4 linked regions of the Pelodiscus sinensis genome follow. The main gene of each other region encodes a partner of the protein of the gene in region 3 in a complex. Links are inferred from orthologs where the notes say so. Each region holds a gene or a part of one and is shown on either strand. Other genes may lie near its edges. The genes, in order: TRPM3, corticotropin-releasing factor receptor 1, GNB1 and CRHR2.

Region 1 (7,905 bases), on a different chromosome or scaffold from region 3:
TACCATGATTTCATCTTTTAAAAAACAGATTATAATTTTAAACTACAAGTGTTACAGATGACTGAGTTTTCCCTATAGATGAGAGTAGTATTGCTTCGCCACATGTCTTCTGGTTGTCATAGCACACTTATAGGACCTTTTACCCTTATGTTTTCCCCCCAATAGGGCAGTCAACCTGTGGATATTTTCCTTCCAATATGACAGCTAACAAGTTATCATATACTTTGGGGGGGGGGGGAGGGGGGGAGAGGAGAACGAGGGAGGATTACTAATTCTATCAAACCAAATGCACAACTTGAGAACCAAAGCAACAGGTTTTTGGTAAGAACATATGGTATTTTCCTAAGCAAATGAAGACAGCAGTAGTACTCAAAGTAAAGTGAGAAAAATAAATTTGTAACAGCCCAAAGAGTTTTATACTGTCCCCTCAGTTTTCTTGTTAATTTTGTCAGGAAAAGATACTGGAGATGTACTTTCAAATACATGTACGCGTGTATATGCATAAATATGTTTGTCACTCCACCTTACAAAATTTCTATTAAGCAAGAAATACAAGCTTTTTAATACACTTTATGAAAGCCTCATATTTGGGAAAAATAAAAGTTAAAACCTAAAATAGGGTGTGTCTCATTGAATGCAGTTTTCCCTCACGTTTCAACAGCTCACACGGTTCATAGCGCATTGCCTCCAAAGAGGATTTAAAATTATTTCAAGAGACAAACTTTCAGACGCGAGTTTAAGGGGAAAGAAAAACCCACCATAAAAGGAGGGATGTGAGATGGTTCCAGTAGCAGTTACCGACCATTAGGAAACTGAAAATCCCAATGTCGTGTGAAGATGCCAGTAGGTATGTACATGGTTTTTGGGGGCTCTGGTTTGAGGATTCAGTCCATTCCATCACCAGTATAACCAAGACAGTAAACACATTTCTTTTTTCCTCAGCTCTTCCAGCAGCTACAAGCAACAGGTTTCCCTGCCCCTGTCTCCAGACAGAGTCAGAAGACATAAGACATGTTTTTCTAGAATACCTCCAGCAACTGGGGGGGAAGGGGGGCGCGGTTGTATCTGGTCATTTCAACAAGGGGAGGGAGACCCAAAGCAACGACTGGCTCACGGAGAAAGCTTCTAGCGCAACAAGTGCGAGGAGGGAGTGGCGTTCCCCCCGCGCAGACGGGTTTTCAGCGCTGGAGCGGTTAGGGAGGATGAAGGATGGACCCGAGCCCCAGAGCTGCCCACAGCCCGCGCAATGAAGCGGGTGCCCCCGTGAAGCCGCTTTGCCCGCAGAAACCCTCCCCTGCCCCCGGGAGAGGCCGCTCACGGAGCCCTCCTCGAGTCCCCCCGCAGCAAGTCCAAGGGCTTTCCAGGGAGGGCGCCTGGCCCGGGCTCTCGCACTTACCGGCACCTGCTGGGAAGCGAGCCCAGCCCGCTTAGTGGACCCCTGCCTCGAGCTTAGCCTTTTCCAGGACTCGGCGAAGCGCCCCCGACTGGCGCTGCGGCTCCGTCTCCTGCCCGCGTCCTCCTGCTCCGAGCAGCCTCGCTCCGCCTCGCTCGGGCTCCGCCAATTCTTCCCCATCTTCCAGCCAAGTTTGCTGCGGCGGCGGCGGGGCCGCCACGCCGGGATCCCGCTGGCTCGCCCGCTCCGCGCGCCTGTTGCGCGCCCGGGAGGCGCCGGGCTGCCGCTGGGGCGGGGTCGCGAGGAGCCGGCTCCCGCTGCTCGCCAGCTACCACAGCAGCGCCCAGGTTGCGCTTGTCATGACGTTGCCAAGAGACCGGGGGGAGCAGCTGGCGCAGAACCAGCCGCTCTTCCCTCCGTCTCCGCTCCCCTCGCCCAATTCTTCCCCAGCCGCTGGCAAGGGAGGAGATAACGGGACAGGCGGCCCTGCCCCCTCCCCTGCCAGCCTCTCGCACACCTGATCCCACCTGGCGAAGGAGGGACAGGCTGGCGGCAGCTCGTGGGCACAGAACTTGTCCCTCTCCGAGCACCTTCCCCGCTGGAGAAAGGCTCCACTGTGCCTTGGTCTTTCCCAAGATGGTCAGTGCCAACTGCAGGGGACGCTGGAAGCGTCTCCTTCCCCTTTCCTGACACTCATTTACCGGGATGTGCCTCCCATCGCGGGCAAAAATAACTCCCCGTCCGAGTTTGGAGAGAGGTGGCAGGTGAAACTCATCCGCCGAATTGCACTGCAGGTTGATTGTTGCAGCAGCAAGCCGGACACGTGTGGGATTCCTCCCCTCCCCCCATGAGTTTGTTCGGTTTTAATCATTTTGATCCCCAAGGGCGAAGAGCTATGAAGAAGCGGCTGTATATTAACCTGCTAAATTTGATCCGAAACGACCGTGATGTGAAAGGTCAAGTTTCATTCACAGAAGCAAGAGCGGAGAGACAATTAAACTGTTATTATTTTGCAACAGAGTGTATTGAAGTTGCAACCCAGGAACCAGGGAATTAAGCATGCAATTGTTATCTGAGGCAGTGCAAGCAAGGAAATACATTACCTTGTGCGAGAAGGAGAGGTAAATTGCCTTCGCTATTGGAACATGCTCTTTGTGGTTAGGCAGCGCACGCCGCCGTGTAGGACACAAAATCATTCCCGGCTTGGGATTCAGCCATTGCTAATGGAGTTGTTGATGGAGCAGGAGAGTTGTTGTATCCTTTGGTTTACGGAGTAACATTTTTACAGTAGTAAAGTGGCTCGCGCCCTAAAAATCTCAAAGAGCTTCCGCAACATAAATCCAAGTCCCTCAATACTCCTGTGAGGTGTAGGTCACTCTTATTTGTCCCCATTTTGTAAATGAAGAAACTGAGAAACAAAAGTTTACAGTAACTTATAGGAGGTCACAGGCAGACCATAGCATAGAACTGACGGTACAACTCAAGAGCAGGAAAGGCTTTGGGCTAGTAGTTCCCTTTTGTAATTATTAGGCTACAGCTTAGGAACGATTAGAGCACTGTAATGGTCTTGTCTCCAAATTCAAATTTAGAATATTGACTACAAGGTGTCTCAAGGTGCAGCACAGTAAATCCTTGAGCTTGAACACACATTCCATTGTACTTTTTGTAGTTATAAAGGTAATGCTTAAAAAGATCATCTGGAATTCTCCACTTATTCAAGGATCATTTAGGATGCCAAGGTATAACATAGGTGTCAAGGAATACCTAAGAAATGTTTAAAGCTTTTGATTTGCACATACCAGTTAACCCTCCTTACACAAATTTCTAAGGAAATGTTTTAGTGGAAGTAATTTGCTATACTTGTGTACATCACTCATCTAAATTAAATATCTAAACCAAATCAGATCCATTCTATATAGCCTGGTGCACATTATTCCCATTTATATCCAGGTTATCTAATGTGATTCAGTAAAGTCGAGAGTTGTTGGCACTTGCTTCACAGCATATTTAATGCCATGGTAATAGCAGGAAGGCTAGGTCAGCAAATGCAAAATAATGCTAATAGCTCTATTAAATGTAGATTGGAAGCTAATAGCCAAATACTTTTTATGAGTTTAGGAAGCCTAATGCCTTCTGTTATAGAATCTGATCAAGTAGGTAATTTGAGAGGATATTTCTCTTCCCAAGAGATGTAAATATTCCAAGGTTTTGTTACATAGCAATGAGGTTCAGTTCCTTTCCTAAGTAGCTTCAATGGCTTTTTAGTGAAATGCATCTGCACTCAAATCAGTAGGGTTGCCCAATAAAGAGAGTCATAAGAAGCAAATTCATAATCTTATGTTTACAATGGGCACACACATTGTAAAAAGTTAAATTAATATTTTAACCTTTATAAGCCAAGGTCTACTATGATGTTTCCTCTGGCTTCTGAAGCTCTGACCGTAACTGTTAGAAAGCAAACCACCCAAATCAGGGAATATAGTTAGCCACTGTAAAATCTAAAGCCTTCTTATGTGTGGATGGTTTTTATTCACGTTAATTCATTAGAGAATTTGTCTATTGTATTCAAAATATCTTAGAACCCACCAAAAATGTGGGACACTCTCTGGTCACAAGGAAGACAGAAGATTCCCTTTCATGATAGGATTCAAGGAAGCTGGGATTCTCTGTCTTTCAGAAAGAGGAGGGAGTAGAGTAAGAGTCTATGGCAGGATTTATGAATACAGAAATACTTCAATAACTAGAACTCTAAGCTATAGACAGTTGAGAAGTCAGTCCCTTTGGTGCTTGAAAAAGCAAGTGAGGTTATTTCACCAGTTTTGTTACCCAGTGATAGAAAGACATTAATTTAATGTAGTGAAGTTTGATTTTAGGGAGGGTGGGAGTTCTGATTTAGAGTATTGGCGTTGACAGCCTCACTTACAAAATGGGGATATATTTTGTGGCAAAAAGATTAAAATCAAAACTCCACATTAAACAAAAAATTGAACCATAAACAGTAGAATTTCTCTCTCATCGTGCATGTGACACCAGGCGTAATTCATAAGGATAATGGCATGAAAAAGCAGGATTTTGTGAATGGCCACAATCTAATTTATATATACAAACAAATACTTAGGCTGATGTTTGTATCTCTTCAGTTTTTATTAAGGATGCAAAGTCAAGTACAAAACAAACAAACCAAAATTGCCTTTGTGACCATAATTCAATTCCCTTTATGCAGATGAATTATGGTACTGTCTTTAGTTACATATCACTTTCCATTTTTTTCCAGAAGTCCCATGCTTCATTCAGTGTAAGGGGGTAAAGTTTATTGTGAAATTGAGAGAGGAGCAAGGAGGGCTGAGTCATGTTCCCTTTTTAATCAAGGGGTAGAGGCTTAGTTTAGTACTAAGGATTGTGAAGGCACAAGAATTATCAACATCAGTCAGCAGGAAAGCAGAGTCACTGGACTAAGGTCTCCCTGGGTCCCAACCCAATGCATTTTATGCTAGGTCAGAAGCAGGAGCAGGATACATTTTTGTCTATATGGTTGCTTCAAAATGATGGAAGAGTTTCATTAAAGACTGAGAAGGATGTGCAGGGCAGGGAGAATGTTCAGAGTTTAACAAGCTTTGGGCAGGGGGCTGGATTCAAGATGACCTCCTGAGGTCTCTTCTAGCCCTATGATTCTAAGCTCTTCTGCACATGTGCAGACAGTGGCTCTCTGAAGCTTGTTGTTTAGCAAAGTCTGGATGAATTTTCACAGGGAAAACAAGGCCACCTTTCTCACCACTGAACTGTCTGATACATTTCGGCTGTGTCTAGACCAGCCAGTTTTTCCGGAAAATCAGCCGTTTTTCCGGAAAAACTTGCCAGCTGTCTACACTGGCCGCTTGAATTTCTGCAAAAGCACTGACTTCCTACTGTAAGAAATCAGTGCTTTCTGCGGAAATACTATGCTGCTTCTATTCGGGCAAAAGTCCCTTTTGCTCAAAACTTTTGCGCAAAAAGGCCAGTGTAGACAGCTCAGATTTTCGCGATTGGGGCTTTTTTGCGGAAAAGCGTGTCTAGATTGGCCAGGGACGCTTTTCCGCAAAAAGTGCTTTTGCCAATCTAGACGTAGCCTTCAAGTCTTGCTGAAAACTCCTGAGGAGCTAGAGCTCTTTAAAAAAATCTGGAAAGCAGTGTTTCCTGTATGCTGTGTGCTTGTGCATCTGCTCAGAAGAGATTCAAATGCCGCCCAACTGGTTAGTAGAGCATCCACAGCTAGGGGTTGTTGTTTCTACTAGTGGTGCACATTGACATGTGTTGGTGCACATAAAATTTATTCTGCACATGGACAGAATAAATCTTCACATAGATTAAAAAGATTAGAGGGAACATTTCTGAAAAGATAGTTTTAAGATTGTTAAAACTACCTATTTTCACTTCACTCATTGTCAGAAAGTGCTTCACATTTTTTCCTAACACTTAAATAAAGAAACATTAAAAACAGAGAAAGAATGTATCTAGAAAATTTCAGCCAAATAATTAAAATTTAGCAAAAAGAAAAGCAATAGATGATAATGGGTTAGAATAGGAATGGATAGATAACCATAATATTTGGGATCTTTTATTTCATCGATAATCGTATCTTTCTTAGCCTCATATGCCTCTTAGATAATCAAGTATCTTTATGTAAATTATTAAACAAGAGTGCTCCAGGTGGCTGGTGTAGGACATCATGAACCAGGGCTACAGAGGGTAGGCCACATCCCTTACCATGTACATGGGCATGTCCACGTCCCTGACCCTGATGGTGCAGTTGGGGAAAAAAGTTCTTGCGTGCAGCCTCTGGAACATGCTGGAGTTGCAGAAGACAGGAACGTTGTGAGCCTTCCCCAACCACCCGACGTAGATGTCTGTAAACTGGTCCCAGTGGTCCTTGATGGCCTGCAGGACCATTGAGAAATATTCCTTCTGGTTGATATAGACGGATGCCTGGATAGGGATGTGGGTGCCCTTACTTTCCCCTCCCCTGCAGTTGGGGAAGCCCATGTTGGCAAAGGCGGCAATGATGGTTTCCACTACGCTGAGGTGTTTGACCCTGTGCAGCACAATGGTGTTGATGGCCAGCACCACCTGTAAAAGGAGAGACAGACAAAGAAACAGAATCAGAGGGTGGCAAGAGCCCTTGGAAGATGTACTCCCCCCATCCCCCCTCCTTTCACACACACCAGGAGCAACTCCACCATTTACCCCATCCCCCGGCAGGGTTGGGGACTTGCACCAGTGCTACCACCCCAAAGTTCCCCCTTTCCCTAGGGAACTCCATTCCAGCAGTTCTCCCCCATCCTGGGACAATAGCCCGAGAGCACCATACCTGCACAAGCTTCCAGAGGGCTATCGCAATCCACTTTTTGAGGGAGGATGGTGGGTCTCATGTGAGAGTCCTGTTGCTTGAGGGCAGGGGTGAACCAGTCAGAGCTCCAGAAAGGTGTCCTTCCTCATTCGAAAATTCCCTTTAAGCAAGAGCCTCAGATACTTCCCATGGCTGCTGCCTGAGGGATTGTCTGAAGTGGTTCCTGGTGGCCTTAAATGCGAGTTAGCATTTAATCAGTGTGGGAGCTCTATTTTTAAAAAGCTCGGCACTATTTTGATGAGCTCTTGGCATGTAGACATGCTATTTTGAAATAAGCTATTTTGGAATATTTCTTCCGAAATTGTTTATTCCAAAATAAATATGCAGTATAGACATAGCCTCTGGGTCCCAGCCCAGTGCATCTTCCTCTAGGTTCACCTTCTCCTAGGGAACAGCAGAAGTGTCATGTTCAAATGCCCCTTATATTCTGTTCACATAAGTTGTATATATATTTTATTCCCATGGTAGTTGGGAAGACTTTGAAACTCTGTTTAAATCTCCAATTGTCAGAAGATTTATATTATATTATGATTATATTACAATAGTCAGATGGAATTCAAGACTGACTATGCCGTTGTTTCTCTTAACCCACTACACCTAATACTCATTCTGTTCACAAGCTATCTTCTATTTCATCTTCCACTGCCAGAAGAGTACATGAATACCTACATTATTTTTATAGTTCAGGTACACACCAAATATCAATCTAATTCCCACTTCATCTTCCTAATAATACATAATTATGCCAAACACTGAAAATTTTACAATGTACAAGGCCTTTCCTTTTACATCTTTCAACCTTATCTCACTGCCATCAATTCTTCCATTTGAGGAAGATTACCTGCTGTTCCCTAAGCATCTGAGAGTTTTGCTTAGTTTCCAGATGTGCCGTTGTTCACTGATCCAAGAGACTGAATGCAATCTCTCCCCAATACTTCCAATCACTTCTTGCCTTGGAAGCAAGGAACTGGAAATCAAAATCAAATAGGTCACTAAGCTATTAGGATAGCCTTAGATGTTTTATTATCCTGAAAACTATCACAATACTTAAGTAAGCCAGAAGACACAAGAACAAGACCGGTCAGCAGACAGTATAATAAAGCATTGTCCAGAAAATTGTGCACTCTGA
Region 2 (7,038 bases), on a different chromosome or scaffold from region 3:
CTCCACCCTGGACCAGGAAGGTGCCTGCCTTCTCCAGCCCCTGGCAGGCTCCTGGGAGCTGGCAGACTGGTCCTGGGGAGCGGTGGAGGGCTGGCTGCCAGTGGCTTGCTGGCTTATATTTTGGGGCCACTGGATCAGGGGCCCCAGTCGCCACTGCTGGCTCTGGGCTGGCAGGCTTGGAGTTGGCACAGGCAGCTACCCATTTAATGGCTCCGGGGCTCGGGGAGAGGAGAGTAAGTTTTCCTGGTTGTGCCCAGAGTGGTCACCAGGGCTCCCTGGGAAGGGCTGGAGGCCCCCTATTTCGAATTAAGTGTCTACACAGCACCTAATTCGAAATAGCTATTTCGAATTTGGCGTTATTCCTCATAGAATAAGGTTTACTAAATTCGAATTAAGCGCTCCGCTATTTCGAATGAATTTCGAAATAGCAGTTTGCATGTATAGACGCTATTAAAGTTAATTCGAAATAACAGCTGTTATTTTGATTTAACTTTGCAATGTAGACATACCCTGAGAGCACATGTAACCTCCTTACACCGTTATTCTCCAAACTGAATCCCAGGGAAGCAATTCTCTGTGGGGTTTTTTCAGTTACTTTTACTGTTACTTCAGTTACTCTTACTGTTCTCTTACTTTTTCTCAGTTACGCTGTAACATCTAGCAACCAAGTAAACTGATGAAGTGGGTTGTGCCCATGAAAGCTCATGCTACAATATACTTGTTAGTCTCTAAGGTGCCATAGGACCGCTTGTTGTTTTTAGAGTTATGTACTAACACGGCTACCCCCTGAGACTTTCAACCAAGTAATGTTCACCAAGTAAAAACTTACTTGTTTTGTTGATAAAAATCACTTGAAGATTGTGATCTGATTGTGTCTAAAAGGCAAGAGGTTCTGTGTGCACATGCCTAAGACTGCATAGAAAAATCACAGGGTTGGTTGTTTTTTTTTCAAGCTCTCACCAGAGGGAAAGTTAAAGAGCTTGAGGGTACTTCACAGGAAGAAATTCCCAAATGCATCTTCCTGGGTTCTCAAATTTGTTTATTTTTTTTTTTGTATTTGGGTGGTGGCAGCGATACCCATCCAAGGCCAGGGATTCTGTGACCTTGGAGAGTTTTTAAACAGAAGTCTTTACTGGCATTTGGCGAGGTATTTTAAAGTCTCTTGCGGGGCCCACCTTCTGCATTCAAGTGCCAGAATGGGGAACAGCTTTCACAGAGCCTACGCTAAGGGACTTAGTCAAAAATCTAAACCTAGTCGGCATTTCTACCTAGTGACCAAGGATAAGGGTCACGGTCTCTTGTGGCTGTGTAATTTAATTCTGAAATCCTACATGGTTATATTGACCAATTTTCTAGTTGGCATTAGCCATGTCTTAGTCCAAAACATAAAAATATAAAAACAGCCAGACTGCATCAGACCACAGCTCCATCTAGCCCAGTGGCCTGTCTTCCTACAGTAGCCGATGCCAGGTGCCCCAAAGGCAATGAACAGAACAGGGAACCATGGAGGAATCCATGTTTGCCTTCTTATCTCCTGTACTGTTCATTAACTGTTGTTATGGGTATTTTACAAAACGCTATAAAACTAAATTCAACTCTTGAGCCCTTTTCTTTAGTTAAGCAGCTGAAATCAAAAGAGCCTTAAGAATGGGGATAGGAGGAATCAGGCAAGCAGTTGCTTTACTAAGGCTTGGTTTCTATCCTATCATTCTTGCAGTATTACATGAGAACATAAGAATGGCCGTACTGAGTCAGACCAAAGGTCCTTCTAGCCCAGTATCCTGTCTGCTGACAGTGGCCAGCACCAGGTGCCCCAGAGAGGGTGGACTGAAGACAATGATCAAGCGATTTGTCTCCTGCCATCCTTCTCCAGCCTCTGACAAACAGAGACCAAGGACACCATTTTATCCCCTGGCTAATAGCCTTTTATGGACCTAACCTCCATGAAATTATCTAGCTTCTCTTTAAACTCTATTATAGTCCTAGCCTTCACAGCCTCCTCTGGCAAGGAGTTCCACAGGTTGACTACGCGCTGTGTGAAGAAGAACTTTCTTTTATTAGTTTTAAACCTGCTACCCATTGACCTCCTGTTTATCTGTCCAGGATACCCAGGGCTACTCCTGCCACAGTAATTGGCAGGAGCAGTGTTTGACTGAGGGGGAACTGCTGTTGGAACTGACAGGGAATCTGCCCTTTCTGCTGAGGACAGGGGCGGGAACACTCAATGATTGGCTGTTTGGTTCATTCCCAAAGAAGCACTTGGCATTGGCCACTGTGGGACTAGATGTGCCGTTGGTCTTACCCAGTATGGCTGTTCTTATGGCCTCTTGCTTCTGCTGGAGGCTGACTCCTGGCACCCCAGGCTTCAGAAAAAAGCAAATCCCTTGTCTTTGGAGTATACCCCGAGAACCAGGTGGTAGTAGGACGGCAGCAGGGGGGCAGGAAGGCCTAGTGGACAGAACACTCAGGACTCAGAAACACTGAGTTCCTTGCTCTGGCCTTTTGGGTAATGTTGGGCACGTGTCTTCACTTCTCTGTACCTCACTTTCCCCACCGGTAAAATGGGAACAATAATGCTGCACTCCTTTGTAAAGCACCTGGTGCTCTATTGGCCAAAAGCAAGAGATTTGCTCAGTCCCCAGCAAACCGGGGGCGAATGTCGGCACAGACATGGCTCCCTGAGCCCCTTTTCACTGGCTCTTCACTGGCAGGTCTATTCCCAGGGAATCCCCCTGGGGCAGGCACTCCTCCAGCACCCTACCCAGCCGTGCAGCCGTCCTTCCACAAACCGGTTCAGGCAGCTAGCGCCGTTGCCCACCGAGGCCTGCAGAGTGACATGGGAAGCCGCAGTGCAGGATGCTGGGTGCTCACCGCAAGGGGACCTCAGGTCCCACTCAAAGTGATTTACTGGCAAGAAAAACACAACAGTGCAGCAGCCCTGGCACTGCCGCAACCCCCAGCAAGCTACAGGGTCTCTGAGCATCAGAGAATATCCCCTCAGTCCAGGCAGCCCAAGTCTCCTGGCCCCAGGAATTGCAGCCAGGCTATTGTATTGCAAGGAGCCACTGCTTTAGTTGATTTTATAAAGGCAATCCCTTCCTCTGCCAACCTCCTCAGTCCAGGCACCTTGGGCAGCAAGGAACAAAAGCCTCTGCCTACCAGGTCTGTTCCTCCTGGCCTGGAAACAGCTTGAAAATTATAGCCTGGGTGCTGGACCGCCAAGAAACAAACCAAGGAGCTATTTTGTCCTGGCTCTCTCCTAGGGACTCCAGGGAAAGTGAGAGGGGCCCTGGAGTGGCAGAACGGTCTAGCAGTTAGAGCAGGGGTGGTTAAGAATCAGCACTTTTAAATTGCCCCCCCCCCCCGGCAAAGTCACGACTCTTGTCGCTGCCTCTTGCCTCAGTTTCCCCAGTTGTACGATGGGAATAAAACACGCTGATTTAAATCCCGGTTGGAAGCGCACTGGAGTCTGAATTCACAGGACTCGCTGAGGCGCTCCCGTGTCCAGGGGTGCGAGATGGGCCGCGTGCCTGGCCGGAGAGCTGCGGCTTCACTCCGGTTCGCTCAGGGCTGCCCCGCACTGAGCCCGCGGGCACCTGCCGTGGGCAGCAGGAGCTGCCAATATTTGCTGGTCCTGGGGAAGGGCACAGCCGCGCTGGGGAGGGCAGACAGGGCGCACCGTCCGGAGGAGGGAAGGCGCCAGGGCGCAGTACCACCCCCGGAGCACCAGAGGCGGCGGCCGGCACCGGAGTGGGGCAGGCGGCAGAGCCTCCGCCGCGCACCCGGGACAGCTCCCCACTCCGCACCCCCGCCTTGTCCCGCCCGCTCAGCGCCCCCGCCCCAGCCGCCCGCTGCATCCTGCGCCCCAGCCCCCCGTGTGCGCCCCGGCGGGGCTCCTGCCCGTGCCCGGGGGCTGCCCATTGCAGCGCTGCAGCGGGGGAGTTAAAATACCCAGCCCGCCTCCTCCCCGGCCTCCGGCAGAGCCCCCCGCCCCGCCCCGGCTCAGCCTCTGCAGCACCAGCCTCGCTGCTGGCCGCAAAGCACCGGCCCCCTTAGGAACCGGCGAGAGCGGAGCCGCTGGCGCGGGCGGGGCTGCCCTTGGCTGGGCAGGTGAAGTGCCGAGGGCAGAGGGGGGCTGTGGAGGAGGAGGAGATACGCCGGGGGGAGGCTGGAACCCAGCCCCATCCGAGCCGGGGAGCCGGAAGGCGGCGAGCCGGGCAGCCCGAGCGCAGCAGGATTATAAAAGGACCGGCCGGGGGCTGGCGGCGAGAGCCGGGGGCCAGCTCCTGCTCCCGGAGAGCCCGCTCCGCAGGCAGGCTCCTGCCAAGCAGACCTGGCTCCCTCCCCGCTCCTCCGCGACACCAGCATCCCCGAGCAGTGCGGCAGCAGACGGGCCATGCCGGCCGGAGCCCGGCCAGGGGGGAATTAACAGCCCCAGGATGGTGCTGCGGCCAGGTCCGAGCCTCGCCCTGCAGGTAAGAGCCGGGCTTTGTCCAGGGACCCCGCTCACTCGAGCGGGCTGCATTGGCACAAGCTGCGCCGGGGGCGCCTCTGTCCCGGCCTCGGCACTTGGGGGCGAGTTGGCGATGTATCGAGCCCGCAGCAGCGCGCCATGCAAGGAGCCGCGGGCGCTCCAGCCGGGGCAGAGCGAAGAGGGAAGGCTCCCGGGGGTCGTCCTGGGGACGCGGTCTGGGGGCAGCCCTGGGAGAGGGCGAGCCCCGCTTGCTCCGGCAAATCCCCTGGCGCGCTGCTCCGCGCGGCTCCGGCTTGGTTCCCCGCGGAACCATCTGCTCCCGGCTTCCCTGAAAGTGGCCGCGAGTCGAGTCCCCCGCTGCCTTGGCTGGCTGGAGCCGGCAGGGCCCCTACCGGACATGCCCGCCCGCTTTCCCCGCTGCACCGGCCCCGGTCCGAGGGATACTTGTGGGAACACATCGAAGCTGGAGCCGCGGGCGGGACAAGCCGTTGCCTTTCCCCCGGGCGAGGTGCCGGGTTCCGCTGAGAACCCAGACCCAACCCACACGGTGCCAAGGGGGGGGGGGGGGGTTCGACGAGCACCCGAACATTTTTGGCAAACCCCGGCGCGGGGGTGGCAGAACGCGGCTCGCTCTGGGCCGGTGTAGAGGGGACCAGCTCTGTGCAGCCCGCTGAGTTCCCGGCGGGGGAAAGCCCGCAGCGGCCAGAGACAGTCCGCAAAGGCGGAGGGCTAAGTTCGACCGGCCCTCTGGGCGCAGCGGCGCTTTGCAAGCTTGTCGGTTGTGCGACAGAAGTAATTGCAGACCCTCGTGTTACCCGGAAAACCGGGGCGTCCAAAGTGCCAGCAGCGCGGAGCATTGGGAAGAATTACTCGGAAGTGCTAACGCGCGCCAAGGGTGCAGCGCGGTTCCACGCTCCTGCCTTGGATGAGCCGAGTCTCTGTTGTAGTCGCTGTGCTACCGTAATGCTGCATGAAGAGAGCTCTCGCGCAATGTTATGGTCGCACCATTCGTGGTAGGCTTTGGATTTTTGAGGTTGTTTTTTTTTTACAAAAATCATGGGAAATATTGTCTGTTTCCAGTTAGCGTTTAAATGCTCCTCTGTGTTTTCCCCGTCTTTGAGCTCAGGAAGAACTGCCCCTTTCCTGTCACTTCTGTCCACACCCTTGTCCAGAGCCCCTCTGGGGAGTTCATCCCAAACCATTTGAAGAGATCCCGAGCAATTGACCAAGTGGGGCAGAGGGATGAAAGTGGAGTAGAGGGCAGCCTTAGCTAGGTCCGGGTCTATACTGTCTAGGTAAACTGATAAATAACACACCAGATCCAGCACAATGAAATTACAAGGCAACACACTTCATAGAGTCTGGCAATGGAGGGGAAGTTCTGCACCTGTGCTGAGGCAGAACCAGGTGAACCTAGAACCTAGAATCATGGAGATTCGCCACAGGCAGGATTCCATATGGTTTGTGTCTCTGAGCGGCACAGCTGCTCGCAGTTCCCAGTGGCTGTGGTTTGCCGTTCCTGGCCAATGCGAGCTGCAGGGATGTGGTGGCCCAGCCCACAATGCTTTCTGTGGCTCCCATTGGACACTGGGAGCTGCAAGTGGCCTGGCTAACACATGCCCAGTTAAGCAACCTGCCTGGCAGCCGGATGAGCCATGTCTGGCATGTGGGCTGCAGGGTCCTGTGGCTGACCCAGAGCATCTCTAGACCATTGGGTTCTTCCTTCCCCAGACCTGAGGAAGATTCTGAGTAGCTTTGATGATGGTCCCTCCCTCCAACAGAAGTCGGTCCATCCTCTCCCCTCTTGTCTCTGTCGTAGCCTGGGGCCAACAAGTGTTTATCCAGCTTGTTCCTTAAAACCTGCAGGGATGGAGATTTCACAACACCTCTTGGAAGCCTGTGCCAGAGATTAACTATCCATATAGTTAGAAAGATTTTCCTAATATCTGACCAAAATCTCCCTTCCTAGGATCCGGTTTAGAGGGTTACCTGAACTAACACACCTCTGATGAATCACATTACACTTCCTTCCCACACTTTATTCTCAGCACCTCCCATGATTGACCTAGGAGGGAAGCCTGAAAGAATTGGGCTTGTTTAGTTTCGAAAAGAGGAGATGGAGTATAAAAGGGTGTTATAAGGAGGAGGGAGAAAAATTGTTCTCCTTGGCCTCTGAGGATAGGACAAGAAGCAAGGGGCTTAAATTGCAGCAAGGGTGGTTTAGGTTGGACATCAGGAAAAACTTTCTGCCTGTCAGGGTGATTAAATACTGGAAGAAATTGCCTAGGTGGGTTGTGGAATCTCCATCACTGGGGATATTTAAGAGCAGGTTGGACAGATATCTATCAGGGATGGTCTAGAGGGTGCTTGGTTCTGCTGTGAGGGCAGGGGACTGGAGTCAATGACCTCTCAAGGTCCCTTCCAGTTCTAGTGTTCTATGATATTCCTCCTACTTGGGGCCTCTTCGGGGAAGGGCTGCTACTATTCTCAAGGGCAAAGAAGTCATAGCCTCTGTGTCTCTCAGTCCTGGGCAGTCTTTGCAGGGCTTGGGAGACATACGAGTC
Region 3 (7,361 bases):
TTGGTTATTTAGAGTATAACCAACAGCAAATGATGGATTATACAAAAATAAATTCAGAGAGCAGCAATTAAATTCCTGATCCATTATCAAGGGTTTAGAGGTCATCTGAATACAAGACATATTATAAACCAGCCAAATATTTTTAGACTAGTATAACATGTATTTTTTAAACTTAACAGTCATTTGAAAATACCTGAGAATAAATCAGTTGTATTAAGTACTAACTAGAGTCTAATGTAACATCCTCTATAAAATAAAAAGAAAGTTAATACTAGTATAAATAATAAACATCAAACTACCAATAGGGAATGTATGCCTTTTGCAATATAAAAGACCTCTTTTTGAAAGCCTAATGTAATTTTTAAAATATGACATGTACCATATAAAACGAAGGACAAGGTTTTAATATCCAAATAACATTTTTCTTCCACCTCTCTATTAAGGAAAGAATAATGATCTAAGTATGACAACAATTTCAGGTCAAATGCAGTTTTAGAAGCCTCCACAAATCATCTGAAGATTCTCAAGCAGAAAAGAGCTGCTCCTTTGTATCACAAAAAAAAAAAAAAGGCTACTTTGGGCCTGATTACTACTAGATTGGTAAAACAAAATTTTACAAAGCCATTCACACAGGTTTTTATATACACATTATAGATTATGGGAAAATATTTTTTAAAAAAGTCTATTTGTGGTTAAAATAGAAAACAAAGTAAAATGTTCCTAAATACCATTATAAGAGGCGTTAGATGGTAGAAGAAAATCATATTCGTGTTTTATCCAGTCACAGCCTACAGTGAAAATTTCAATAAAACTATTTACTCCTCCCACTTACTCTATCCTCCCATCTATATGGGAGAAAACCAACACAAATTAAAATAGAAAGAAAAACTCTGTTTGTTTTACCATTCCCTCAATCAACTTCCCACTGCAAACAAAAAAAATATGAGAAAGCAAACAGAAGAGACATTAACATATAAGAAATAAGATCTAGTTGAACAGAGCTAAGATGAGGAGTTGAAAATGAGAGAGCTGCCTTGCTGCAAACGCCATCTTGTTGCAGTTATTGGGCCCAGGCACAGGAGGGTCCATTCATTCACAGCAAAAAAGAAAATCAGACACACACCCTCGGTAAGCTGCAGCCACCAAAACAACTGCACTATTATCACCCCACTCCCCAAAAATACACGCTTATCTAGAATGTCTTACACAGAACACTTAAGCAGAATTTAAATCTCAGTGCAATCCCTTATTGTTTTCCACATGCATTTTACAAATAAAGTGACAGCACTTTTTCTTGATTCACATCCTTGTGCTTAGCAAACAAGCTTCAAAATGTGGAATAAGCCTTCAAGGACTGACTAGGTGCAGAAATGATCAAACTACAAAAATGTTTTGTCTCATTTCATTTTCAGTTTTAAATCCTTTCCTCTTGAGTTCAGTCAGTTGTCTGTAGGAACAGTTTCACTGGTTTTTTAAAGCTTCCGTTTATTGTAAGATGTTCTTTGCTCTTTGTTTCTACTGTGTAGACAATACCTAATAATGTAGCAGTTAATATGATAGAAAAGACACCTTATGTGAAATGAGTCCCAAGTTGTAACTTGGTCAGAGAATGTTGAAAAATCACCTTTGTTAAAATTTCAGCTAATCTTCACAAGTGATAAATTGACATCTTGGAATAACTCATCATCCCGACAAGGTTTTTTTTTAAAGTCTTGACTATTCCTAATCCATTATTCATTACTTAAAATATAAACGATTTTACATTTTTTTTAATTTTTACAAGCCGTTTTAGACTTGAAATTTTAAAAAGCCACACTTTGGAAACCCCTTAATGGATAAAAATGTACTGAAAACATTTTCATAAGGAAACTGTGAATTTGGGGGATGGGTATTGCTTTTAATATTTTTTAACATTTCATCTGTGCAGAAACTCCCTTAGTCTGCTGTAGCAAACATCCTCCATGATCTTTTATATTACACTTACAGGCACACGAAAATATGCAGCACCATACCAGATGGAGGAACAACAAATATGCAAGCTACATAAATCCCTTAGCTATGTTATTAACAACACTTACATACCCACCCTTCCTCCCACAGCCAAAAACAATGTGAACCCACCCTCCAAGCCCCAGATGTTCCCTTTCCTGGGCTAGGGACTGCTTGGAGTCTCACCCTGTTTGCCTCAACCTTGTCTCCTCTTAATCAATTTTCCACCATTACAGCCCCCCCCCCCACACACACACACACGTCCCGCAGCATTTTCTTGAGCCTTCCCGGGCCCCCCCCAAACGCGCTCCCTCAGTAGGGCTCAAAGTCTTTGCCAACTCACCTTTCTACCTTTACACATACACACACACAAAGAACAGCACCGTGCCTAGTGTAAATCACTCCAGCCTAATTGCAATTAAAAATGGAACCCTGCAAAATCCCGGGTTCTCCTCCCTTCTCGTCATAAAAAAGCCCTTCAAAAGAAAGCCTCACTCCCACCCTACCCCCACCCCTTCCTCCTCCGGCAGCTAGAGCCTGGCTTGCGAGGGGAAGCGCGGGGGGGGGGGGGTATTTTCAGCCTCTCGATGCTGAGCAAGCTGGGGGCAGAGGAGAGGTGGCAAAGGTGGGGCTGCGAGGGGGGAGGGGCTGCGAGGGGGGAGACGAGGGGGTGAAATGGGCGGGAAGACAGAGGAAGGAGGGAGACGGGGCAATCTCCGCGGGAAGGGGACCCCGGGCCTTTACCTGCCCCTCCGGCCGCTGCTCATTAACGGGGCCGCTGTGTCCGCCGCCCGCGGCCCGTGCCCACTCTTCGCTGCGTCCCCGCCGAGTTGGGGGAGCCGCCCGCGCTGCGTCTGGCCGGTCCCGGGGTGGCGACGGCGGCTCGGAGGGGGGGGGGGATTGGCTCTCGGCTCCTCCTCGCGCGCTTGGTCCCTGCTCAGCTCCCCGCAGCCATCGGGAGCCGGAGCCTGCCTGGGCGCGGTAACCGCCCCGCCCGTGCGGCCGGGCCGGGAAACCCCGACTGCCGGTCCCGCCCCGCCTCCTGGGCCGGCCCCTCCCCGCGCCCACAGCGGCTGTGGGGGTGACGAGGGCAGGAGGGCGAAGCAGCGCAGGGAGGAGGTGGGGGAAGGGCAGGGGAAAGAGAACTGGGGGTGAAAGGAGCAAAGGCCATAAGGCGACTGCAAGGGCGGGGGACGGAGCCGTCTTTGTGGTGCGAATCCCCCTGGAGCTCGATCTCGAGCCAGCTGCAGCCCGAGGGTCAGACAAAAGCTCTTGAATGTGTCTCTCAGAAAACGGTGGGGCGGGGAGAGCGCGAACGGGGCTGGGGCCAAGGGAAGTCTTCCTAGTTGTGCCATATTGCTGGGGGGTTTTTTCTTTCCTGGATCATGAAACGCAGTTTCACTTTCTGGTTCCCAGGCTCCATATTGCAGGGCTTCGTTTGTTTACTGGTCCTGCCTCAGCAGGCGACTGGAAGTAACTTCTGGTCGTCTCTCCCGCCCCGCACTTTTATGATGCTAGAGGGGAAATGTTTAAATCCGGAGGTAACAGTCTCCATGTCTTTCCAGCAGTCGGCCCTTCCTAGGAGTGTGTGAAACCCAGGACAAATCTGTTTCCTGACTAGTTTTGCTGTGTGCCTGGTTTGCCCATCCACCCCTCACCCTCCATCCACCCACCACGTGCCTCCTCACTTACCTGCCCATCATTCACCTCCTCACTAGTCTTCTTGCTGTCCATCAGCACCCTTGTGGTCCACCCGTGCCATCCTCCAGACCACCACTCACCTCCTCTCCATCTATGCACCCTCCTGGCCTCATCCCCCAGCCCGTTTTCCAGTTGCCCACCTATGTCACCTCCCACCTGCCAAGTATCAGGACAAATGGCATGCTGATCATACATCGCTCTGAATGGGGGACAAAGCAAGGGCCCCCCCAAAATGAGAAGTCACCCTGATTTGCCCTACCCCACAGTTCAGGTTTTGTAAAGGGTCACCCATTTTTTAAAAAATTGAATTTTGAGTCTGGCCTATGCAGAGGTGCCCCTGCAAAGAAAAAAAATCCTTCTGGTACAAAATCAGTATACTTAACATGATAATATATTATCTCTACTCCCAAAGAAGTTAGGTTTGAAGAAAGAAAAGTGCACAACAATAGTCTGAGACTTAAATTAGTTTTTTTAATTTTTAAAGATATAAGAAACCAATGTGTTTTCAGAGTTTTGGAGAAATGTTCCTAGGCAAGAAGGTTGAAAGCAGTTCCCTTTTAATTTATCATATTTTCCCAGGAGACTTAGAAAAAAGCAGACACATAATCTGGTATAATCAAACATAGATGTCCCAGTAGGGCAGGGGTGGGGAACCTCAGGCCTGGGGGTCGGATGCTGCCCCCCGTTTGCCTGGAGCCAGCCCCCAAGGCTCAGAGCTGCCCCCAACATTGGGGAGCCCAAACTGGTGTTCCAGTCCCCTTACTGCCCCATTGTGTGGCCGGAGCACACAAAATCTACTTGCCTTCCCCTGACCCCCCTCCCTTCCCGGCTCTGGTGTGGGAGGGAAATGTGGGGAGTGTCTTTTTCCTTCTCAGTGTAGGGCCACTTCAGTGACTTTTTTTTTTTTGTGCTTCTCATTTGTGGCTCCCGACTGAGTCAGTGGCCCCTAACCCAAAAAAGGTTCCCCTTCCCTGTTGTAGGATTTTATTTGTATTGCAGAAGTGCTCATAGCCCCAAAAGAACTCAGTTGTACAGATAGTAAAAGGGAGTGTCTATTTCAGTGAGTTTAATCTAAATAAGCAAAAGAAAGGAACAAAAATACTATTCTTATTTTACAGGTGAGGATTAAGGTACAGAGAGATTAAGTGATCTGCATTCCAATTTAGTGGCCTACCACCTCGGCCTACTTTCCTAATGGCACAGAAGTAAGTATGCAGATACATTGATCTTTTTCCATTAATGGTCTCCCCTACATTTTCCAATACTTTATTACATTAAATCACATTTCAGAATTTCTCTTCTTGCCTAACTAGTTACAATGAAGCCCAGGAGCACCAAATAAACTCTTTAAAATACACATAGTAAAATCCACAGGGGAAAAAAAAAGTGGCTTAAAATCCTGCCTGTATATGTGCTGATAAAACTAGAAAAGAAAAATAAGACCAATTGCTTAATCAACCGAAGAAAATAAATTGCTTCTTGTAGCTTCAAAACTTTCCTCGATAGGTCATCAGTTGTCTCCTTCTGGATTTAAATTGCCAGGTATGTGAGGAAGTGCATGGTGGGAAATGTGTTTATAAAAAAAAATAAAACCTCCCACCCCCTCAGAATTGGGTGGTTATGGATAGTTACTAAGAGTAAGAATAGTTTTGGTGATTATGATTCAGGTGAATGAGTTACTTGATGTGTGTTAGTCTAGTGTGAAATAACTTAGGTAACTGTGTTTTTGTATATTTTTGTTTATATAATCATTGTTCAGGTGTGTTTTGAAAAAACACACATCCCGTGTTGGAAGTTCAGAACTCCACCCTCAAACTTGTCTATAAGAAAACAGGAAACATACTTATGTGTCTATCTAGAACAGACAAATGAGCATCACAGTTTTTGGGTTACAGTCTCAGTTCTACTATTGTTCCGGTGTGTAACTTCAGGCAGTTTACTTACGGCTCATTCCTACAAATTTAATGGATGCTTACTTCATGGACAGTTCCAATGAAGTCAATAGAAGTCAATGTGTAAAGTAGGGCATTTGTCTAGATGTCCACAAGACTGGGGCCTTGAACTCTCTTATGCTTCATTTCGCCTATCTCTAAACTAGTGATGAGATTTAACTACTTAAGAGGCTTATTGTCTGCTTTACTGGGTACTGGTAAAGAGTTTGAAGAGTAATTGTAAGCATACCTATTGCAATGTTCCAGTCAAAACAGCCTGTCATTGGAGTGATAGGATTTCTTGAAAGGTATGTTTCATAACACATATATAGATACATAGGTGTGGAATTTTTAAACACTGAGATTAAGATATCCTTTTTGAGACCCTAAAATTTGTGGTTAATGACGGGGAGACCACCCAGTATTAAATATACAAAAAAGAGCTGGCATATAAAAAGCTAAAAACCTGTAATATCAAGGAGAGTTCTGGTCTGAAAGCTTTTCTGGTACTGCATCAGCTTTAATTGCCAAAACAGATTGGCCCATTTCCAATCTGACTATGTCCAGAAGTGTCTTGGCAGATTTAAAGTCAAAAAGGTATTTTGTCTTTAAACAAGGCTCTGAGCTTGCTGAGAAAGAGAAAATCGCCTTTTAGTCTTCTGAGATGGTATCTTTCTCTGGGTGTAGGTCCCATATCTTTCCCTGTATTACTAGACTTAAAAATATATGGCAAGGATGATTTGTTATAATCATACAATAACAAACCAATGAACATTTATTCCCCATAATTTCAAGTATCTGTGACATTAGGTGACACACATTCCTGCTGCTTTGTCCTGCTTTATATTGCTTCTCCATTCTTATATTCTACTCTCTAGAAGATTAATCTGGCGTTGTTCTGCGGCAGGACTGGGTACGAAGCATTCAGTATGCAGACTGCCCAGGGAGACAGGACAACTCCAGCCCTCTCTCTCTGCAGAAACTTGGAGCCAGGTGGGAAGTGCCTGTCTAAGACTGCTGCAGCTGCAGTGGGCATGGCTGAGGGATGGGTGCATGTTTTCCATCTGGGGGACAGAAAGACACATATACAGACAGACACACAAACTCTCTGAAATATATAGAAGATAGCTGTCCCTTTCTCCGTCCCTGCCGCCCCAATGGTGCTATAGCTGTCCTAGTCCCCATCTCTGGCCTATTGCTGTCCCTCTGTGGTCATTCTGCAGTGTAACTTCCTCCTGAGAAACCCCTTCCTTTCCATTTTATGAGAAACAGTCGAATTCCAGGCACATCCCATTGTCCTGGCACAACCATGCCCTTACCTTGCTTTATGTTACGATAAGAGGAAGCCGCACACCAAATGTGGTGTTCCTAGCTATTACCATTTAGGAAAGGGAGGGAAAAATACAGCCCTCCGGCTGGATCTGGCCTGCTAAGCTTCCAGATCTGGCCTGTGGGAATCTCTGCCAGGCTCTCTGCCTGACTTGCTCCTGCATACTGCTCAGAGCAGCTCTCTGAATGTTGCAAGCCTCAGGGGAAGGGAGAAGAGGCTTCGCACACTTCCCTCACCCCCAGCAAAATCTTGCAGCTCCCATTGACTAGTAACTGGCCAATGAAAGCTGCCTGTTTTCAGAGTAGAAGTGTGCAATGTACCCCTCCCCACTCTGGCTTTGCATAGTTAAGAGCCACACATGACCCCTGCATCAGATGGAAGGCAGGGACTCTGATTGAGGAACCAGATGG
Region 4 (7,931 bases), on a different chromosome or scaffold from region 3:
GTAAATCAAAACACTTTAAACTAGATTTTGGTGTCTAAGGGCCTGATCTTGCAAACAATTACATCTGTTCTTAATTCCCCAAATGAAAGTGTGTAACAGGGTGGCACTCACCTCCCATAAGACCCCCATCTGGCCAAGTGCATGTGCTTGCACTGTTCTTCAGCCTTTTTTGGCTACTCAACCTTCTGGCCAAGCCACACTCCTATGGGCAATGCAAACCCCTTCCAGGATACACACTTAACAGGTGTCCATCCCTGTGCCTGCTGCTAGTGTCTCCAAATCTGTTCCTCACTGGGAGAGTGGTACCTCCAGGGCTTCCCCTGAAGGAAACAACTTCCTTGCCCCTCGTTCAGGGCTCTATCACAGTTCATCAGTCTTTAGCCAGCTCTCCCTTTGGATCTGGTGCCCCTTCAGTTTCTTTCCCCACTTGGAGAGAGTGGCATTTCCAGGGCTTCTCCACTTGGAGACAGCTTCCTCAGCTAACTTCACAGTCTGCTCTCCTTAAACTCTGTCCTGCACTGACTGCTGCACTGTTTTGCAGTTCCCTTTGTAAGCCTTCCTAATCCCTGATTGGTCAGTTCCTCCTGCAGACAATCTAGCCTCTTTGGAAGACTTCTCTATTGTTTGCTGGGACTGGGTGTGGCAAGACCACAAACTTCCAGCAGGGGGCTTCAGGGCCTCATTCACCCCCATTACAGAATCCCTTTAACTTCAGTGGGACATGTTAAGTGCTTAAAGTTAAGTCAAATATATGCTTAAAGGCTTTGCTAGATTGGAGCCAAAGTTTGAAATTGTTGGACATTATCTCTCTGGGCTACAGTTTCTCCATCTGTAAAACAGGGATAACAAGACACATCTCATAAAGCACTTTGAGATCCAGGGATTAAAATAAATAAATAAAACTGGTCTTTTCGTGGTTTGGGGGGGATTGATGGGGCTGATAAAGAAAAGAAATAGCTATTACCTACAAAAAGCAAGAGTTATCATATACATTGATATAACTATGTACTGACCTTCTGACACCAGATGCTTGGCAGAGCTAGAGTCTGAGAGGTGGACTGTGTGGGGCAAATGTAGTATAACTGGGTGTGGTTCACTATCCCATGTACTGGCACATAGACCACTTACAGAGCAAAAGAATGAATTTGGTCCACAGCCTTAGCTAAAGCAGCAAGAAGTCCTGTGGCACTTTATAGACTAAGGGACGTGTTGGAGCATAAGCTTTCGTGGGCAAAGACCAGATGGTCTTTGCCCACGAAAGCTTATGCTCCATGCTCCAATACTTTGGTTAGTCTGTAAGGTGCCACAGGATTCCTTGCCGCTTTTGCAGATTCAGACTCACAGTGCTACCTCTCTGATGCTCCACAGCCTTAGCTAAGTGGCAGCTAGCTTTATAGCTTAAGCTGTAGAGGCCCATGTACAAAGCTCCACGGGTTTAGTTCTGCCTACTGGTTACAATAGCACAACAGAAGTATGGCAAGGGGCATAAAATAGAAGCCAAAGGTCAAGGAGGATGACATGAAAGCAGAGACTTAGATAATATTCCTCTAGCTCCCTCATGTTTGTTTTCCAACAAGTTTTTCAGTGCACTTTACAAACATCACTCATATATACAAAGTGGTTCCCCCACGCCCCCCCCCCCCCCCCCAGAGATGGAATAAGTAAAAATAGAAGGCGAAGCAAGAGGAAACAAATCAATATACCTTTAAGGAATGTCAAGATGGACTTTAGTAGAAGACACAATGATCATCTCTTATTTCTTTTCACACTGGTGACTGAGATACAGAATCATGGGGGGACCAGAATCATGGGGGGACCAGAATCATGGGAGGGGGGAGTTTGCTCTGCTTTGCAGATTACAACTCACAATTTAATGGGTTTTGGGTGTGGAGAAGGAACTGACTGGCAAAGTTTAAGTCCATGGTGAGCTATGACAACCCAATTCCCTCCCCCCAGCAACATATTTGCAGAGTGGGATGATTCTGCTCAAGGGAAATAAATCCATGTCATATTGCCCAGGTGAAAACGGAGCAAACGTTTGGAAGGATTGGCTGAATTCGCCCTTAGGGTTGCAAATGCTAAATTGTGAATCCTGCTGTGAGAAAGTAACGCAGGGAGGAATCAGCCGAGAGTGAATGCCAGCTCGCAGGACCAGCTCTCGGTGCCTTAGCCAAACAACTAAACATACTGCAGCGAGATCAGGGCATTGGGACTCCGCTGAAAAAAGGTTTCGGGGTGATCTCAGGGGGCAGGGGGTTTTCGGATGCCTTATTTCACGAAAGTTACTCGAGACCGTTGCTAGACGACTCCTTGCTCAGTGGGGGAGCGGGGCCGCGATAAAATGGACCATAGTCCGGTGGCACTTCGGAGACTAACTCAGAGCTAGGGATAGTCTCCCGGGCTGGTGGCTCCGGGCAGTCCGTGGAGTGGCGATTTGGCGGCGGGGGGGGGGATTCGCCGGGACTCTGGGAGACCGCGGCCGCTCTGGGAATCCAGCGGGTCCCGCTGGGCCGGTGCCAGGGCTTTGCTGGATGACGAGGGGGCGGCTCAGCCCGGAGGGACTCCTGTGCGGGGGAGAGCGAGGCGGTGCGCGGCAGCCGGGTGGGTCCTGCTGGCTGCGCGCTGGGACTGGGGTGCCGGGGGGTGTTTGGGGTGCCGGGGGCTCTGTGCGGTCCCGGAGGGTGGCTTTGCGCGGGGGGGGGGGGGTCTGGGGAGCCGGGGGGTGACTCAGTCTCTGGGGCTCCGCTTTGGGTGATCGGGGCGGCTCTGCCCCCCCCTCCACACTCACCCCCTCCTCCAGCCCCCCGGACACTTACTGGGAGGAGCAGGAGCGCGGCGGCCGCGGCGGCTGGGACGCTGCGCGGCGGGGCCGGCCCCCCCATGGGGATGGGGATCCCGGGGCGCCCGCGCCCCCTCACCGCTCCCACGGGAGGCGCATCCCCCCGGAGCCGCGCGAGTTCCCCGGCTGGTGCCCTGCGAGGGAGGCAGGGCGCGGCGCGGGGAGCAGGCAGCCCTCCGCCCCCGCCTCCTGCCGCCGCGCTGGGGCCGGGACAGCCCCTCCCCGCGGGCACCGGGATCCCTCGCAGCGCCCCCTCCTCCGGCCGGGCCCCCCCCGCGGGGCGGAGAGTGGGGGGTCCCCACCAGCGCCCCCTCCCCGCCCAGAAACAGAGGCGCCCCGGGAGCTGGCACCGCTTGGGGAGGGAGCGGAGACATCGCGCGCGCGGGTCCCACCGAGCCCTGGGCACAGTGGATGGAAGGAGCCGGCTCCCTCCATCGCAAGATCCCCCCCCGTCCAGGCCCTCGTTCCCCGCCCCCACCCGAGCTGGGACCCCCTTCCACGGGTGGGCTGTGGGAGTGAAACCAGCGCTCACCCAGCGCAGGCGGGAGACGCATTGGAGTGACTGGAGCCCCCCAATTTGAACTACCCGGCGCTTGGGCAGCACCCTCCTCAGGTTTTTCCCGTGGCAGTACAGGGCAGTCTACACCGGGGCAGAACAGGGGCTAGCCAGGTTGTGTATCCTGGAAGTCCCCGCAGGCAATCACATGAATGTGACAGGCTGTCTCACAGAGGTCCCCTTGGACTGCCTCACCTTGAGCAAACCACTGAGCCTCTACGCACCTCACCGCCAAGGTGTGCCCTCTATTTTTTCCATCCGTGTGCAGAATAAATTTTATGGTGTGCACTGTGGTATGTGAGGATGTGCACCACCAATAGACACGCTGTCCTGTGCATCCTGAAGCTCTGGTCTCCCCCAGAGTTGGGTAACAGCTCCCAGGAGTAACACAGATGCTGGACCAGCTACGCTCTAGGAAGGTTCAGCTAAAGGGGCTTGTCAGCATCCAGGAACACAACCCTCCAAGGGACCAAACCCCAAATAAATTTGTCTTACTCTATATCAAAGTCTCATAAGGGCCACTCTCTTTATGGATGAAAGAGAGAGATGCACAACTGTGCCTCCCCTGCAGGTAATAATTATTTACACTGGGCTTGATGATAAATTTTTAAATTTTTATTAAGTATAAAAAGTAGAGTTTCAGTGAATGTAAATGAAAACAGACAGATCAAAGTAAGTTACTAAGTCCAATTAAACCAAACTGGCCACTTAGGCTTAATACACTAAGAAACCTGTTACATGCAAATTCATACCCTAAGGCTGTGTCTACACTGCACCCCTTTTCCAGAAAAGGGATGCAGATTAGACACTTTGGAATAGGCAAATCCGTGGTATTTGCATTAACATGGCTGCCGCTTTTTTCCGGCTTGGAGATAAGCCGGAGAAAAGCGTCAGTCTAGACGTGATTCTCCAGAAAATAAGCCCTTTTCTGGAGGATCTCTTATTTCTACTTCAAAGTAGGAATAAGAGATCCTCCGGAAAAGGGCTTATTTTCCGGAGAATCACGTCTAGACTGGCGCTTTTCTCTGGCTTATCTCCAAGCCGGAAAAAAGCGGCAGCCATGGTAATGCAAATACCGTGGGGGATATTTAATTCCCCCGCGGATTTTGCTATTCCGATGTGCTACATTAGCATCCCTTTTCCGGAAGGGATGCCAGTGTAGACGTAGCCTAACAGTAGTTCTAATAATCCTTTTCAGAAGCTAAGCAACCAGCCAGCTTGGCCTGATCCTTCCCCCAGTTCAGTCTTAGATGTTTCCAGCATGCATCTTGAGTGGTAATTGGGGGAAGGTCTTCTGGCATCTGGTCACTGCCCTATTACTTTGTTTCCCACCTTTAGATCTCCCTTGACCAAAGCAGGAATTCTTTGTGTTCAGTATAAACACATGAGTGGAAGAGTACCAGATCCAAAATGGGTTCCGGCCTCAGGTGGCCAGGTCACATGTTCTGGCAGACCAATCACAATCCAGGCTTATAGAAAAAAAAAAGACTTTTCACAGCTTATTGGCTTAAATACTGAGCCATTTTTTTCTAGAGTATCACTAATGGTTCTCGTTAGACCATCTAGATTTAAAAACAGATTCTCATGTCATATTTCTAACTTCACATACAAGAATGACATACGCACAGAAACAGAAAAAAAATTCAACAGATTGTAACTTTAAAAAGAACATGTCACATGATGCATTTTGCCTAAAATGTCTGCAAGTTATGCATATGCATATTCATAAGACAATTTTCATAAAGCGGAGGTCAGGTCCCTTCTGGCATGAAACTCTGTCAAACCTTATTCTCTTCCTTACATCCTTTAAGGCTTTAGTGGGAAACATTTTCATAAGGCATTGCTGCATCCTCACTCCCTTTATTTATTCAACTGTTATTTCTATTTACATTTGCCTGCTTGGCCCTAGAGGAGAAGCTTGTTTTAAAGAATCCCGGTTGGATTAAACTCAATATTTGTTTTAGTTTTTAAAAAATTATACACTTGTTAATAGAAAAGTTGTCATGAAAACTGGAAAAAAATGGGAACCAGGTGTTTTAATGGGATGTTAACATTCACTGGCAGGGCAGCATCGTACACACAGCAGGATTGCACTAGTCATGAGAACTTCTGTGTGTACGTACGTGGCTGTAGGCTAGTGCCTTCAATTGGATTTTGTTCTGTGCTCATGACTGGAGTATTGAAAAGGATGTTAATAAATTGGAGAAGGTCCAGAGAAGAGGCACAAGAATGATTAAAGGATTAGAAACCATGCCTTACAGTCACAAACTCACTAGATTGAGCTCCTTGGCTGCATCTAGATTGGCATGATTTTCCGGAAATGCTTTTAACGGAAAAGTTTTCCGTTAAAAGCATTTTCGGAACAGAGCATCTAGATTGGCACGGACGCTTTTCTGCAAAAGCACTTTTTGCGGAAAAGCGTCCGTGCCAATCTAGACAGGTTTTCCGCAAAAAAGCCCCAATCGCCATTTTCACGATCGGGGCTTTTTTGCGGAAAACAAATCTGAGCTGTCTACTCTGGCCTTTTTGTGCAAAAGTTTTGCGCAAAAGGGACTTTTGCCTGAACGGGAGCAGAATAGTATTTCCGCAAGAAGCACTGATTTCTTAAAGTAGGAAGTCAGTGCTTTTGCGGAAATTCAAGCGGCCAGTGTAGATAGCAGGCAAGTTTTTCTGGAAAAGCGGCTGATTTTCCAGAAAAACTGGCCAGTCTAAACACAGCCCTTGAGTTTAACAAAGAGAAAGATAGGGGCTAACTACATCACAATCAAATAGTACCTATGCGGAGAACAAATATTTGACGCTGGGCTCTTCAGTCAAGCAGACAAAGGTAAAACACAGGCCAGAGGCTGGAAGCTGGACCAAGACAAATTAGGTTGAGAAATAAGGTGGATATTTTTAACTATAAAAACAAAGCAGAGAGAGTGAGTGAGTGCATGAGTACACACACACACACACACACACACACACACACACACTTAGCAAGTGTAGGACCAGTGTTAATAAGGCCAATTCAGTCAGGTGCATGTGGCTTGCTCCCAGTAGTTAATGGGGAGGTGTGAATACCAAGAGAAGGAAAATTGCCTTTGTAGTGAGATAACCATTTTGAGTCCTTATTTAGTCCTAATTTGATGTTACATTTTCAAATGGATTGAAGCTCTGCTGTTTCTCTTTGCAGTCTGTGTTTTAAGATTGTTGCAGAAGGATGGCTACTTTTAAATCCATTGAGTGTCCAGGGAGGTTAAAGTGTTCTCCTACTGGTTTTTGTATGCTACCTTTTTTGATGTCTTATTTGTATCCTTAATTAATTTACTGAGGCTTGCAAGGGGTTCTTCCTCTTGAAAGCTAGATTGGATGTTTCTTAAAAGGTTATTTCTCAACTTCCCCTGCGTCCAGACTCAAGTCGCGTTCTTTCGAAATAATTTCGAAAGAACGCGGCTTTTCTTTCGATGGCGGTAAACCTCGTTTCACGAGGAAGAACGCCTTCTTTCGAAAGCTCCTCTTTCGAAAGAAGGCGTTCTTCAATGTAAAGAGGCCGTCTTCGAAAGAGAGCATCCAGACTCGCTGGGTGCTTTCTTTCGAAAAAGCGGATTTCTCTTTCGAAAGATCCGCCTGCAGTCTAGACGCGATCTTTTGAAAGAGGCTCTTTCGAAAGATGCTTTCGAAAGAGCCTCTTTCGAAAGAAGCCTGCAGTCTAGACATAGCCTCGGAGTAGTAGTTGGAGGAAACAGAGTAGGCACCTGAAGTTTGTGGTTAGCCAGAACAAGACATATAAATAGAGCCCAGAAAATCTGCAGCTATCCACGGGTATTCGTATTTGCAAATGTCAGTGTAGATATCCACAGTTCATTTTTGCAGATACAGATGTGGATGCAGATTCAAATTTTGTATCCGCGCAGAGCTCTACATACAAATATATGAAGGATCATGGAAAAAGTTTCTTATGAATGCAACATAGCCACAATATTTATAACCACCCTAGTGGGCGGTTACTTATATGATTATATGTCTAATTTAATGTAACAACTAATGACTGAAAGAAAGAAAAGTTCTGTCTAAGCATGGCTGTAAATATGAGCCAACCTTCCACCAAAGCAGGGTATTAAAAATTCCAGGAGACTAAATTAAATAAATAAAATAATAATATAAAGCAGGGCTATTCAACTTTGGAAGCCCTGGGGGCCACAATGATACTCACAACACACTTAAGTGTGGTTGCATATACATGCAAAAATATGTGCAAATAGCTTCTTTCACACTGACGGGTGTGAATACAAAGATTAAGACAAGACTACACAACATGTAGGTCCCATTCAAGTCTGTTCTTCTGATATTAATAAAATGCACTATTTACCTGATTTCCACCAGTATAACAGCACTTTTAATGAGCAATAACAGTCCAGACATTTAACTACAGGCAGTCCCCGGGTTACATGGATCCGACTTACCCCGTTTGTAAGTAGGGATATGACGTGAGGCAACCCTGCACTAGCTGCTTCCCCCCAGCAAACCAGGGAGATGCGGAGCGGCTTTTCTCAG

Evidence for each region.
Region 1: the proteins of GNB1 (region 3) and TRPM3 are in contact, whole or in part, in a crystal structure (PDB 6RMV), measured with the Mus musculus proteins. The link is inferred for Pelodiscus sinensis from reciprocal best matches to the Homo sapiens genes GNB1 and TRPM3. Residues at the interface, in NP_001153488.1 of Mus musculus: Lys57, Tyr59, Trp99, Val100, Met101, Leu117, Tyr145, Gly162, Asp186, Met188, Cys204, Asp228, Asn230, Asp246, Arg314, Trp332; in NP_001349418.1 of Mus musculus: Lys615, Arg616, Lys618, Ala619, Lys621, Leu622, Leu623, Gly624, Met625.
Region 2: the proteins of GNB1 (region 3) and corticotropin-releasing factor receptor 1 are in contact, whole or in part, in a cryo-EM structure (PDB 6PB0), measured with the Homo sapiens proteins. The link is inferred for Pelodiscus sinensis from reciprocal best matches to the Homo sapiens genes GNB1 and CRHR1. Residues at the interface, in NP_001269468.1 of Homo sapiens: Arg42, Arg46, Arg52, Phe292, Val307, Ala309, Gly310, His311, Asp312, Phe335; in NP_004373.2 of Homo sapiens: Arg145, Ser146, Lys376, Arg380, Asp383, Lys384, Ser386.
Region 4: the proteins of GNB1 (region 3) and CRHR2 are in contact, whole or in part, in a cryo-EM structure (PDB 6PB1), measured with the Homo sapiens proteins. The link is inferred for Pelodiscus sinensis from reciprocal best matches to the Homo sapiens genes GNB1 and CRHR2. Residues at the interface, in NP_001269468.1 of Homo sapiens: Arg42, Gln44, Arg46, Arg52, Phe292, Val307, Ala309, Gly310, His311, Asp312; in NP_001874.2 of Homo sapiens: Arg142, Ser143, Lys372, Arg376, Asp379, His380, Ser382, Val385.

Annotation. Positions count from the first base shown.
Region 1 is NC_134716.1:33,611,925-33,619,829, forward strand, and holds the start of TRPM3 (transient receptor potential cation channel subfamily M member 3), read right to left. Parts: upstream 3,009-7,905; 5' UTR 1,574-3,008; coding exon 1,397-1,573; intron 1-1,396. UniProt on the Homo sapiens protein: Constitutively active, non-selective divalent cation-conducting channel that is permeable to Ca(2+), Mn(2+), and Mg(2+), with a high permeability for Ca(2+).
Region 2 is NC_134739.1:4,618,230-4,625,267, forward strand, and holds the start of corticotropin-releasing factor receptor 1, read left to right. Parts: upstream 1-4,035; 5' UTR 4,036-4,439; coding exon 4,440-4,475; intron 4,476-7,038.
Region 3 is NC_134733.1:18,361,138-18,368,498, forward strand, and holds the start of GNB1 (guanine nucleotide-binding protein G(I)/G(S)/G(T) subunit beta-1), read right to left. Parts: upstream 3,011-7,361; 5' UTR 2,734-3,010; intron 2,615-2,733; exon of another isoform or gene 2,526-2,614; intron 2,480-2,525; exon of another isoform or gene 2,333-2,479; intron 1-2,332. UniProt on the Homo sapiens protein: Guanine nucleotide-binding proteins (G proteins) are involved as a modulator or transducer in various transmembrane signaling systems.
Region 4 is NC_134712.1:248,899,014-248,906,944, forward strand, and holds the start of CRHR2 (corticotropin-releasing factor receptor 2), read right to left. Parts: upstream 3,018-7,931; 5' UTR 2,883-3,017; coding exon 2,817-2,882; intron 525-2,816; exon of another isoform or gene 130-524; coding exon of another isoform or gene 112-129; intron 1-111. UniProt on the Homo sapiens protein: G-protein coupled receptor for CRH (corticotropin-releasing factor), UCN (urocortin), UCN2 and UCN3. Has high affinity for UCN.